Linked DNA regions of Caenorhabditis elegans. The protein of the gene in region 1 purifies or fractionates together with the protein of each later gene. This does not show direct contact. Each region holds a gene or a part of one and is shown in the gene's direction. Other genes may lie near its edges.

Region 1 (3,467 bases):
CGCAACTAAAAAGAAGAACCGCTCGAAGAGACGAGCTTTCAACGACATCCAAATGAAAGTCACGGATCTTATCAATTTTCGCCTGAAAAATCATTTGATCACGGCTCCGGAAAATATGAAAAATCGGTCAAAAAGAGCCGACTACTTTTCAAAATTACATAAATAATTTATTCTCTTCAAAACCTTATGTCAAAATTTTTTTTCTGGAATTCAAATGATTACCTGAAATCCCTGAAACTGTGGCTCATCAAATACTCTTTCCGGTTTTTCTTCACTCTTTTCCTCATCTTCTGACTTTGAACCCAACGAAGAAGATCCATTTTCTGTTGACGCCGCCGTTGCCGTAACTGCAGTTAAATGGGTTGAAAGATTGAGTGCGAAATTCGATTGAGCCAGTGCAAAAATGAAAATGGGCGTCCAGCTGTGACGGAGCAGAATCAATTGATCCCCTTTCACAAGGTTACTCATACTTGTACGAGCCCAGTTGACAGTTGCAAAGATTGTTTGAGCCGCAAATTCAAATATTGATTCTGTTAATCACAATTATAGAGCAAAATCATCTCTTCAGCTCACCTTTAATCGATGGTTTTGTGAATTGAGCAGTCATGAGTGGATTGAATGGTACAGACATAAATGGAAATGGAGATCGCAAAAACATATTTGGAGGGAACAAACTTGGCATTGTAACAGGTAGACGACCTCGTTGAACTGCTGAAACTGCGGTCTGAGTCTCATTGGATCTTCTTCCTGTAGATCGAATGAAAATCCACGTGGTAGTTGTAAATGGCAAACACTATATTTCATATAATAGCCTTGAATTCCTCATTCTCGGCAGCTCGTTTCTCAGTCATTATTCAGATTATCACAAATTTGAAAAAAAAAAAGGAAAATGTTTCTGTTTCATTTTAACTTCAATTTATTTATGCTTTCTATATTAACCTAGATATCTTCTGCCAAAATTCAGGATTCAGGATTGAGGAAATACAGTAAAATGGTATGATGACATGAATATGCGTATGGCTTGGGTAGTTTAAAAGTGAAACAAATACCTCAAATTTTTGTTTGGATGGGTCTCGACACGAGAAAAAGAGAAACAAATTTTATAAAACTATGTGCCTTCAAGTAGACAAAGGCAAAATTTTTACTACAAAAAAGCTATTTTTGTAATACATTAAAGAAGAAGAAAACTACGTTACCAGAAATCGGTACGACCGAAAATGTTTCATAAAATATGAGAAAAAGGGTGCCACAAATGTTGCGTATAGTTATTTCCAGCCGTAGCGATATGTGAAAACTATTGTGCTCCTTAAAGGCGCTCACTCGTTTTTTCCAGCTTTCACTTAAAACATTTTCTGTCGTGGCAAGACCCGGTACCGTAGTCTTTCTTCATTAATTGATGAATTTTGCTTGAATATAGTAATATTCACTTTCCCAGAGCCCATAAGTCAAATCTTGTCATTAAACTTTTTCAGAAAATCAAATAATGTTCTCATCTCACCTTCTTTTCTCATTCCCATTCGAATGCATTTTGTCAATCGACAATATTGGCATTGATTTCGGTGTTGCACGTCAATGGCACAGTTCTTCGTAGCACGACACGTGTAAGATAATGAACGTCGAATTGATCTGTAGATTAAAATATGATAATTAATTCATTTCGATACTTATTTTGTCGACGAATAGCCGTTCCAAGTTTTGTTAGGACGCAATGTCTAGTGAGTTTTCTTTTCTCTCACAAGAACTTTCAGCCAATCGGTTTCAGGTAAACTTCTCCTACTCTTGCTCGTCGTCTGTGCTGCTCATATGGGCATAAATGTTTATGGGTAAGTCAAGGCGAGAAAGAGAGGTCGATTTACGATCGATTTCGCAAAGAACACCTTTATTGAAATTTCTAGTGTTTTTCTTATCTATATTGGAAAAAGTTTTTTTACTAAGTTTAATGCGGAATCGCTCGTAGATCAACAGAATAATGGCCTTTTTCCGTTCTAAGCTCGAACAAGTCTTCTACATCCAAATATCCTTCCTAATGATTCCAAATATTTTAAGTCAAAAAATTCGCCAAGCGGACCTGTCCGGAGTTGAGACTGAACCCGGAAAGCCATACAATGGCATCAGACAATCGGTGAGACATATGGACGAGAATCCGGAGTATGAAAGAGAAAAAGGAGTGTAAGTTATAGGCGTATGTATCATCTAAATAGTTGCACAATTAACAGATTGATTCGTAACAAGAGAGATGCTACAGCAACACCAGGAGCAGCTTCTTCAGCAAAACCAGGAGACGTTTCCACACCACAACCAGGGGGTGCTGCCAAAGCTGCTGCAAACCCAGGAGCTGCTACTGCAGCGAGCCCAGACGCTGCTGCTATATCAAAGCCAGGAGCTGCTGCTGTCACAGCAAAACCAGGGGCAGCACCGAAAAAGCCAACTGCGCAAGGAGTGAAGAGAAGGTACGTGCTCAGCATTTGGTTATAACTTGCTGCTTGATTTATTATAGGATCAACAATTTGTAATGAAACTAAATATAAGCAAGACATGAGCTATCAAAATTGAGGCGTGAAAGTGCAGTTCTAATAAGGACTACACGGATCCTGGTTCAAAAGTTGGCAAAAATTTTATTGAGGCGTCGGACAATTTTGATTCAACTTTTGTCAACTAGGGCGCAGCCTGCGCTAAGTGTTCGCAATTTCTAATTTTTGAATTCCAATAAAGCTCAATCTACTTGAAAACTGGCAGCTTTTAGGTTATTGCAATTTTGTTTAAAAATAAAAATAATTTTCAGAGAAGGCTTCTTCGTCGTCTTCCTGGCTCTCACCCTGACCCTCGTCTTCCTCAGCCTTGTTAGCATCGGATTGTTCGTTTGGCTCCTGATTGCTCTCAAGAAAGTTAAAAAATGAATAAACCTTTTGAAGAAACTTTTGCATCCTTCACAACTGAACTGTCCATAATGTTTTCCACTTGATTTATCTCCACATACTACACAATCTGTTGCATCTGGGGAACTGTTTCCAAGACTTGCAGCACCTGATGAGCCATCCTGCATCTGAAATTTTAGACAGTTTGCAAATTAAACATTTTTTTGGAATTTTTCACGCATGTTCTAAACCCGCACAAGTGACGGTACACATTCAAAGGCTCATGCAACATTTTCAAAAGCTCGTTTCGAGAAATCAAATATTCGTTATGTTTTTTAATTAGGAGACAGGCTACATGGAACTCTTCCGAAAAAGAATACAGGCTACTGTAGGTTAAATTTTGGAGCAACTTCTAAAAGTGTCGCATTTGTCAATGTCTCTTGTCATCACAGTATTCATACATATAATTACAAAATCTGTTCGCCAGTCGGCGCAGCTTTTTCTTTTTTTGCGGTTTCGTTTCGAAAATGAAAATAACAGGGATGTGGTGCCTTGGATGACAGATGCTGTTACCCCCTGCTGGGATACGAGAACCTCTCTTTTCTTCTTGGG
Region 2 (7,989 bases), on another chromosome or scaffold:
GTATAGAAATTATTTGAAGTGTCGAAATTCTTCGATGCCTTTTATTGTTATATTTCAATTTTCAAAATGAGTAGGCACTGCAGTTCAACTCGTTAGTTCATTAGCCACACATGATAAATATCACACATTTGATGAGTAGCGACTTATATTTTAAATTTTTGTAGAGGCTTTTCCAACTCTAGAAGACCCCAACTTCAAAGATAGGTACCAGATTTATTCTTTTAGGATTAACACTATTTTCGAAACCTACCTCTCCGCCACATTTCTCCCATTTCCCATCCAGTGACAAATTCTTCGGATCATTACCCCGTTATCTGCACTATGAATCATTTCTTTTGTACTTAATACATTCAACTGCCGCCATTATTTGGTCAGTAAGTAATGACACGGAGGGGTCATCTTGAATTGACCTAAACGGATAGAATGAGGAGAAGGAGAGTCGTTTGTTCCAATCTCCATTTGCTTCTGATTTTTGCACTCGTTTCCCCACTGGTTTTTTTGGTAAAGTGGAAAACTTTCCAAAAATTTGTACTTTTTGAGTAATTTTGAGCATTGCTGCAAGAATCCCTAGAATTTAAAAAAACGAACAAGTAAAACAAAATTAAAATAAAACTTGTTCAAAAACAATTTTTGGTCGACTTTTGAAATTATGTCAGGATAACTGAGTTTCCACCATTTTTGAGAAATAAAAAAGTTCAAATATTTTTTAAAACTTATTTTGGCATTTTAGAAATATAGGAGCGGTTTTAAATAAGTTCCTTGCTGACTCTCTATATTTGGGTTAAAATTAAGCTTCAAACAATCTTTATAGTTATTAGAACAATTGATATCCAAAACCAACATATTAATGAAATGTAGTACACCCACAATCACATCTGTGGGATTACATGAAGAAATAGAAAAGTGAAGACACACGGGAGAGGTAGTGGTGACCATGAAAGAGTAATTGTTTTGTTTGTACAAGGCAACAGCTGGCTTCCATGATAAATTTTTAATGTTCCATGTCTTTCGTGATTCTTATTGTCTATTGTCTCTGTAAATATTTTTTGTTGATGTAAACAATATCCTATATTGGAGTAATTCAATAATTATTGAACTAAGTCTAGAAACTTAATTTTTTTAATCTCGTGTTTTTTAAAAATAATTTTATTCGATCTACAATTTTACCAAAATCACCGCTTCCCTCATATGGCATCTGAACCCTCCCTTCCTCCTACATAAATTTCTCAATACGTACCAAAATATTTCATCACCAAGTAACCGCATACACCATTCGCATTTGTCCTCCTATTCCTCCACTTGTCCTCTTCTTTACTTTTCATCCACTTTTTGCGTCTTCCAAATATCGTTCTTTACCAACTGTGAGTGAGAGAGAAGGGTACCTCCTGCCGCCTGCTGCTGTAGCCATTTCCCTCTCTCGCTGTGGTTCAGTATACTCGCTGATTGACACATCTGTCCTTTTTCATTCCCTCCGTGTTGTCCTGGTCATCGTTCAATCGTTTTCCTTCATATTCTTCCTCACCATATCTTTCTCTGCTTTGCCTTCGTTCAATTTCTGATGGTACGATTTTGTTAAAGTGTTTCACGGGACAAACTTTTGAAGTCGCGACGTTTTCTAGAACCGCATGAACTCAAATTGTCACATGCATCTAAATAGACAACAATTTTTGCTCACCTTTCTTTAAAATTTCGATATGAATTTCCATAATTTTCAAAGTTCTATTCTACTAAACTTAATAAAGACTAAGCATGCAAACCTGAACCTAAAAACTTGAACGTAACCTAAGCTATGAGCGAAAACTGTTGTCAATTTACGAATGCATATTCTCGCGACATAATGATATTACTCCTTAATAATACATAGAACACTCATGCTCACAGACCTCTAGATTCAAAGGCCTTTATGGTGTCTGACTATTTTTGTCTTCATCACACATTTTTCGAAATTCTCACTTTTTATTCAACTTCTTGACCCTTTTAACTTTCATTTAATATTGCTAAATTTCAGAATTGTACATGTAAATTCTTTCCAAAAATGAGTGATAACTCATCTAATCAGTTTCTACTTCTGCTAGCAGCTGCACAGCAACAACAGCAACAACAACTTCTACAGCAACAACTTGCAAAGATCCAGAAGGCCACTGCATCATCTCCATCGAAATCAACTAATGGAACATCAGCATCAACGTCGGCTGTCCCGTCAACTTCTGGGACATCGTCATCTCAAAATGAAGCAGCTCAGTTGCAAAATTTAGCAAAAATGCAGCAAATTCAGCAGCTGGCCCAGTTTGGAGCACTCATGGCTGCGCAGAAGAAACAACAAGAAAAAGCGGCAGCTGATAAGGCAAAGGAAAAAGAAAAGGAGAAGCAAAAGGCTGCAGCAGCAGCTGCCGCCGCCGCAGCAAAAGCCTCAGCGTCTACTTCCTCCGCATCAGCAATTCCTGGATTGTCTCCAGAAATGCTCGCAGCATGGCAACAAGCAATCCAGATGCAAGCTCTCCAACAAATGATGATGACTCCACAGAAATCTCAAATGGAAGAAGCTATCAAGAAAATGATGGATATGGCAAAGAAGAAGCCAGCTGGAGTCGCCTCAACAAGTTCAGCATCTACAAGCTCATCCACACCATCCACATCATCAGCTTCAATTACATCATCTAATAACAATGCAGCGAACAACGCTGCGAGCAATATGATGAACAATGTGATGTGGCAATTGGTGGCAGCACAAATGCAACAAAAACAGCAACAACAACAGAAGGATACTCAGAAAAAGGCGGTAAGATATTGCTTTTTATATTATTTTTGAGAAAAATGTTGAATACTTTCAGGATCAAGCGAAAAAAGCGAAAGAGCTTGCCAAACAACAACAGAAAGAGCAAGATGTGAAGAATAAGCAACAAGAGGAGATTTTGAAGTTTCTTATGGCTCAACATCAGCTGAATCATCAGAAAAAGCATGAGAAGAAGCAAGCTGACGCAGCTGCACTCGCAGCAAAAGTGCTTGCAGCTCACCGAGCAGCACTCGAATCGGACAGTCCTGAAGAAGGGAAAAAGACTAATGAAGCAATGCTTCGATTGCCTCTTCAACTTGGATGGAGGCGTCAAACATGTGTCAGAAGTATTGCTTCCGCTGGAGTTAAAGGAGATGTTTCGTATTTTGCTCCGTGCGGAAAAAAGTTGAGCACATACTCGGAAGTTGTTAGGGTAAGTCCGTTTGATGTGTATAATTCAAAATTATTGGTTTCATAACTTTCACCGAATTGTAGTTTAAAAAATGTATACTTATTTTGTAAAAAACCAGTTAAAAAAAGTTAAATTTTACTGAAACGTAAACTTATAAAATTGAAAAAAAAAAAAATGAAATCTCAACTATTTCCAGTACCTCACCAAAAATTCGATTCACTACATCACCCGTGACAATTTTCTCTTCAACACAAAATTGGTTATCGGGGAATTCATTGTTCCAAAGCAAACAGAAGCTGATGAGACTCAACAAGAACGCGAATTTGCAATGTTTACTGAAGATGACATTAACAAGGAACTTACAAGATTAAATGTTCTGAAATTCGTTCCAAAGATCCAGGCGTCCACATCCAATGGTGTTCACGAGGATGATATCAAAATGTCCAAAATTGAAGAACCCGACGAGCCATTGGATCCATCGGAGCTTAACGATGAATTCACCGAAGAGTTAGTTCATAGTCAGATTATGTCAAATGGAGTTGATGAATGCAAGATTCGGGAGAGAGAAGCTGATGATCTACTAGTAAATATCAATGATGTTCGGCATCTCCCAGATTTTTCTAGAATTGGTAATCAATGTCTGAGTTCACAAGGATTCGCTGATGCACTTATGGTTCACGAATTTGTACAAAACTTTGGTCATGTTTTAGGAATAGGTAAGCTGCTAAAACTAAAGTATGTTATTTAAAGAAGAGCATTTTCAGATCTTGAAATCGCCCCAAAACTAGAGTCGTTATGCGCAGGATTAGATGGAGATGCTAATCACGCCGAGCAAACTCTTCAATTAACTAGGCAACTATTAAGACTAGCACTTGAATTTCCTGGAATGGGAAATGAGAAAAGGTAATTTAGAAATATCATAAGATCTTGATTTTTATTTTATTTTTCAGATTTGGCCAAGGTGGAGGAGAAATGGGACTTGATCGTGAAAACTTCAGTGAAGTGATGCGTCTTTTTCTTATCGACAAAGGAAAGCGAGGAGAAGAATTATCACAGCCTCTGCTTACTTGCAACTTTTTATCGATTTCTCCAGAACAAAAAGCTTCGATTTTAGCATTTCTCTGCGATGAGCTAGTTTGTTCTCGAAATGTTGTCACTGAGATTGATAAGAACCTTGATGAAATTTCAAGATTAAAAGGAGAAAAATGGATGAGAGAGGGAAAAGCTAGAGCTTTGAGATCAGCAAGAAGTAAAAAGAAGAATGACGAGAAAGTTGTAGTTGTGAAAGAAGAACAGAATCATGAGAGTGATTCTGAACCTCCAACTAGACCGGATACTCCGAAGAAAGCCACGGTTGCACCTCCAACTGTAGTTTCTGTTTCACCTGTCTCGGCAGCTCAGCAGCAACAACGAAAGTTCACTCCAGGATTAGGCCAGTGCGAGGTTTTAACAGAACAAGAAGAATCAATGAGTCTTCAACAAATGGATTCTCTGATCGGAGATCTTCATCAAGAAGCTCAAAACATCAATCAGAAGATTCATGATACTGGTCTCAAGATCCGATCCTTCCCATTCGGAACTGACCGTTTTCATCGAAACTACTGGATGTTGGCTCACACTGATAAAGTTATCATTGAGTCACTAGCAACAACTTCAGTGAACAACCCAGCCTGCAATGCAAACGAATATGCATCAAAGGATCCACCAACTCTTGAACAGCGTGTTCCAGGAGCATGTGAGACGATTGACTTAGATGTTATTGCTTGTGTTGAGGATTTGGTTGATGATGTTGTTCTGCTAAGAGCCAAAGCTGATAAGAAAACTCGAAAAAGATACAGAAGGATTGAAAATCATATGAAGAGAGGATGGTGGACAATGCAGAATAGGTCAGTGCAGCGGGATTCTGTTTAGTTTGTGTAATTATCAGAAATTTTAAAGCTAAAATTAGAAGTGTACCCAGTGTTTTTCTTTGCATAAACATATTCCTTTGTACAAATTTTAAATTAAAATTTTTCAGAGACTGTGTAGAATCCCTTCGTTCTTGTATGCTCAGTCGCGGAATTCGTGAACGTGCTCTTCATCGTCTACTCACTAAACCATGGTTTCTAAATGAACTCAAATTCGGTACAATCACAATCGAACCAGTTGGTGAGAAATCCGACCTGGAACTGGTTCGAAGACAAGGATGGACTCGACTAAATACGGCTATCGACAAGCTTCAATGTCATTTGAAAATGTCAGATGTGTCTAAACCATTGCCTTCTATCACGCCTTTCGAGACCCAGAAGCCTATTGTGGTGCCTCCTACAATGGCATTGGCGCAAATTGTGAAGGACGATATGGCATGGAAGGTTATAGATGAGGAGGTTGATGGACAAGAACTCGATGAGACTATAATCCGACAAAAAATCATTGAAACAGCGGACATGGTGCAGCCAAAGTTTTGGAGACCCAAATTTCAAAAACTGGAGGATCAAGATACATGCCAACTATTTGAGGATTGGAAGTCTTATGTTTCAACTGAAGCACAAACAACGAGTCAGTTAATGGTAGCTCTTCAAACTCTCGAAGGAATGATTATGTGGGAAAGATCATCTCGTGAAGCACTTTGTCAGATTTGTAAGAGTATGGATGGAGATGAAATGTTGGTTTGTGATGGATGTGAGAGTGGATGCCATATGGAATGTTTTAGGGTGAGTTGTGTCTCAAATGTTGGTAAAAGTTATAATATTTAGTTAGAAAATAAATTTTTCTAGTTGAAATGTACTGGAAATAAGATAAAGGTTTCGAATAAAACATACCCTTTCTCTTATCACCGTTTAAAAAAACTGGGGGCAATTTTAATAACGATAAGTTTGTACTTTCAAGGAAAATGCCCCAAACAATTGAAAAAGAATGGAATTTTTTTGAAAAAAAACTATTGTATCATTCTATCAATATTTTCTCAACTTGTTAATTTCAGCCCCGAATGACAAAAGTACCTGAAGGTGATTGGTTCTGTCAGCGGTGCCGCGAGGAAAAATCTGGAAGACCAATGTGCATGTTCTGTAGCCGTGAGACTGGAAATCTTCATCAGTGTCAACGCTGTGCATACCATGTTCATCAAGAATGTTCACAAGATGGCCCAAAAGAGGCTATAAACCCTGAAACATTTATCTGTGGGCATTGTCAAGAAATGAAGCAAATGCGTTTTGTGAAGCGACTCATTCTTCGAAGTGAATCGGAAGAACGAGAATTGGAAGATGATAATCATGCAGAAAATGGAGAGAATACTAAAAATGGTCATATGAATGGAATGAATGGAGCAATTGCAATCGGCGTTCATAATCAACAAAACGGAGTCAAAGGAAATCTGAAGAGAAAATTGGAGGTTCCAAGTATTGGTGGTCTTCCAAAAAATATGAATAAGGAGTTGTGTCAACTCATGTTGGATGAACTCGTCGTCCAAGCAAATGCTTTGCCATTTTTGGAGCCTGTCAATCCAAAATTGGTTCCTGGATATAAAATGATTATTTCAAAACCAATGGACTTGAAGACAATTCGACAGAAGAATGAGAAACTTATGTAAGTAATTTTTGATAGGAGGGTGGGAATGTCATCAGGCCTATCCTATAAGCCTATTTTGTGTTTTTCCAAATCAATTCCAGAGTCAGGTGATTGAACAGTGTAGATTTACAAATTTCTCTGTTTGAATACGGCGTTTCCTCTATTAGTCCTATGAAAGAATCGAAAAATAGTCTTGCAGCGAGACATATCAATTTTGTTTCTTTGCGATATTTGATCTCAAGCTGAAAATGAAAATAACACAGTGACTTCGATTGCCTTTTAAACAAATAGTTAAACTGTTTGATATTTTCCAGATACGAGACTCCAGAAGATTTTGCTGAAGACATAGAGCTCATGTTCGCCAACTGTCGTCAATTCAACATTGATCACTCAGAAATTGGACGTGCTGGAATCAGTTTGCACAAGTTTTTCCAAAAACGTTGGAAGCAGCTGAAATACAACTTTACAAAAAGACTCAGACGCCTTCATCGTTAATTTCATGTTTTAATCAATTATCATCTCACCGTAACCGGTTAACTTTTTCTGTTCATAAATACAAAAATCATCCCATTGATGTTCGGGTAGTTATTTAATGTTTTTTATAATTTTGCATATTTGTGCCACATGTACAGTTGTACATTTTCTCTTTTTTAATTTATTTATCAATACCCCATCACATTTCTTTCCGTGACGGATTTCTCATGCTTTGATCTGATTATTTATTGCAATCTTGAAGAAAAATGAAAAATTTTTCAAAACAATCCTGGCGACTCATAATTATGAAGACAAAAACTCATAACCACAGTTTGAAGATGATGAATATGTTTAATTATTCGCCTCACTGAAGCTTTAGTCAGTATATTGAAAACATTGGTTTTTGTGATCGTGGTTTTCTTGTAGATCTCAAAAAATGCCTCGTTCGTATCTAACAAGGCTCTAGTAATCCTACCGTTCCCCGATACCATCCTCACACTGAACCACTAATCCACTCGCTTTTTAAATCTGCTTCTTCTTTTGGCATGATGGACTACTACAGTACCCTACCGTATTGCTACAGCCCTGACAACATCCCCACACTAACCACAACCCCATTTCTCTTCTAGAGAAAGGGGGTTCAAAGACCTACGAGAAAAGTTCAAGCTACATAAATAGCACAATTATATTTTATACATCCTTATGAGTATGTACAAACTGAAACTTTAAAATAAAGATGTGGGAAAATAAATCTTCCAAAAATCAATTCATTACAATAAAAGAA

The links. Proteins that work in one complex are often made in the same cells at the same time.
Region 2: the proteins of F55D12.6 (region 1) and baz-2 fractionate together in Caenorhabditis elegans (co-fractionation; one large-scale study listed by BioGRID). This does not show direct contact.

The regions. Positions count from the first base shown.
Region 1 is NC_003279.8:7,900,292-7,903,758, forward strand, and holds F55D12.6 (uncharacterized protein), read left to right. Parts: upstream 1-1,640; 5' UTR 1,641-1,708; coding exon 1,709-1,715; intron 1,716-1,762; coding exon 1,763-1,823; intron 1,824-2,046; coding exon 2,047-2,169; intron 2,170-2,216; coding exon 2,217-2,450; intron 2,451-2,782; coding exon 2,783-2,897; 3' UTR 2,898-2,903; downstream 2,904-3,467. Other genes in the region: Nuclear hormone receptor unc-55, read right to left, coding at 1-82, 223-530, 574-747, 1,499-1,626, 2,904-3,043.
Region 2 is NC_003281.10:7,650,052-7,658,040, reverse strand, and holds baz-2 (Bromodomain adjacent to zinc finger domain protein 2), read left to right. Parts: upstream 1-2,008; 5' UTR 2,009-2,035; coding exon 2,036-2,779; intron 2,780-2,831; coding exon 2,832-3,206; intron 3,207-3,381; coding exon 3,382-3,901; intron 3,902-3,949; coding exon 3,950-4,088; intron 4,089-4,135; coding exon 4,136-5,071; intron 5,072-5,202; coding exon 5,203-5,878; intron 5,879-6,147; coding exon 6,148-6,749; intron 6,750-7,045; coding exon 7,046-7,226; 3' UTR 7,227-7,488; downstream 7,489-7,989. Other genes in the region: ZK783.7 (uncharacterized protein), read right to left, coding at 870-1,033, 1,238-1,322. UniProt on the Caenorhabditis elegans protein: Chromatin reader protein, involved in positively modulating the rate of age-related behavioral deterioration. Positively modulates the level of global trimethylated 'Lys-9' of histone H3 (H3K9me3), but not of H3K9me2 or H3K9me1.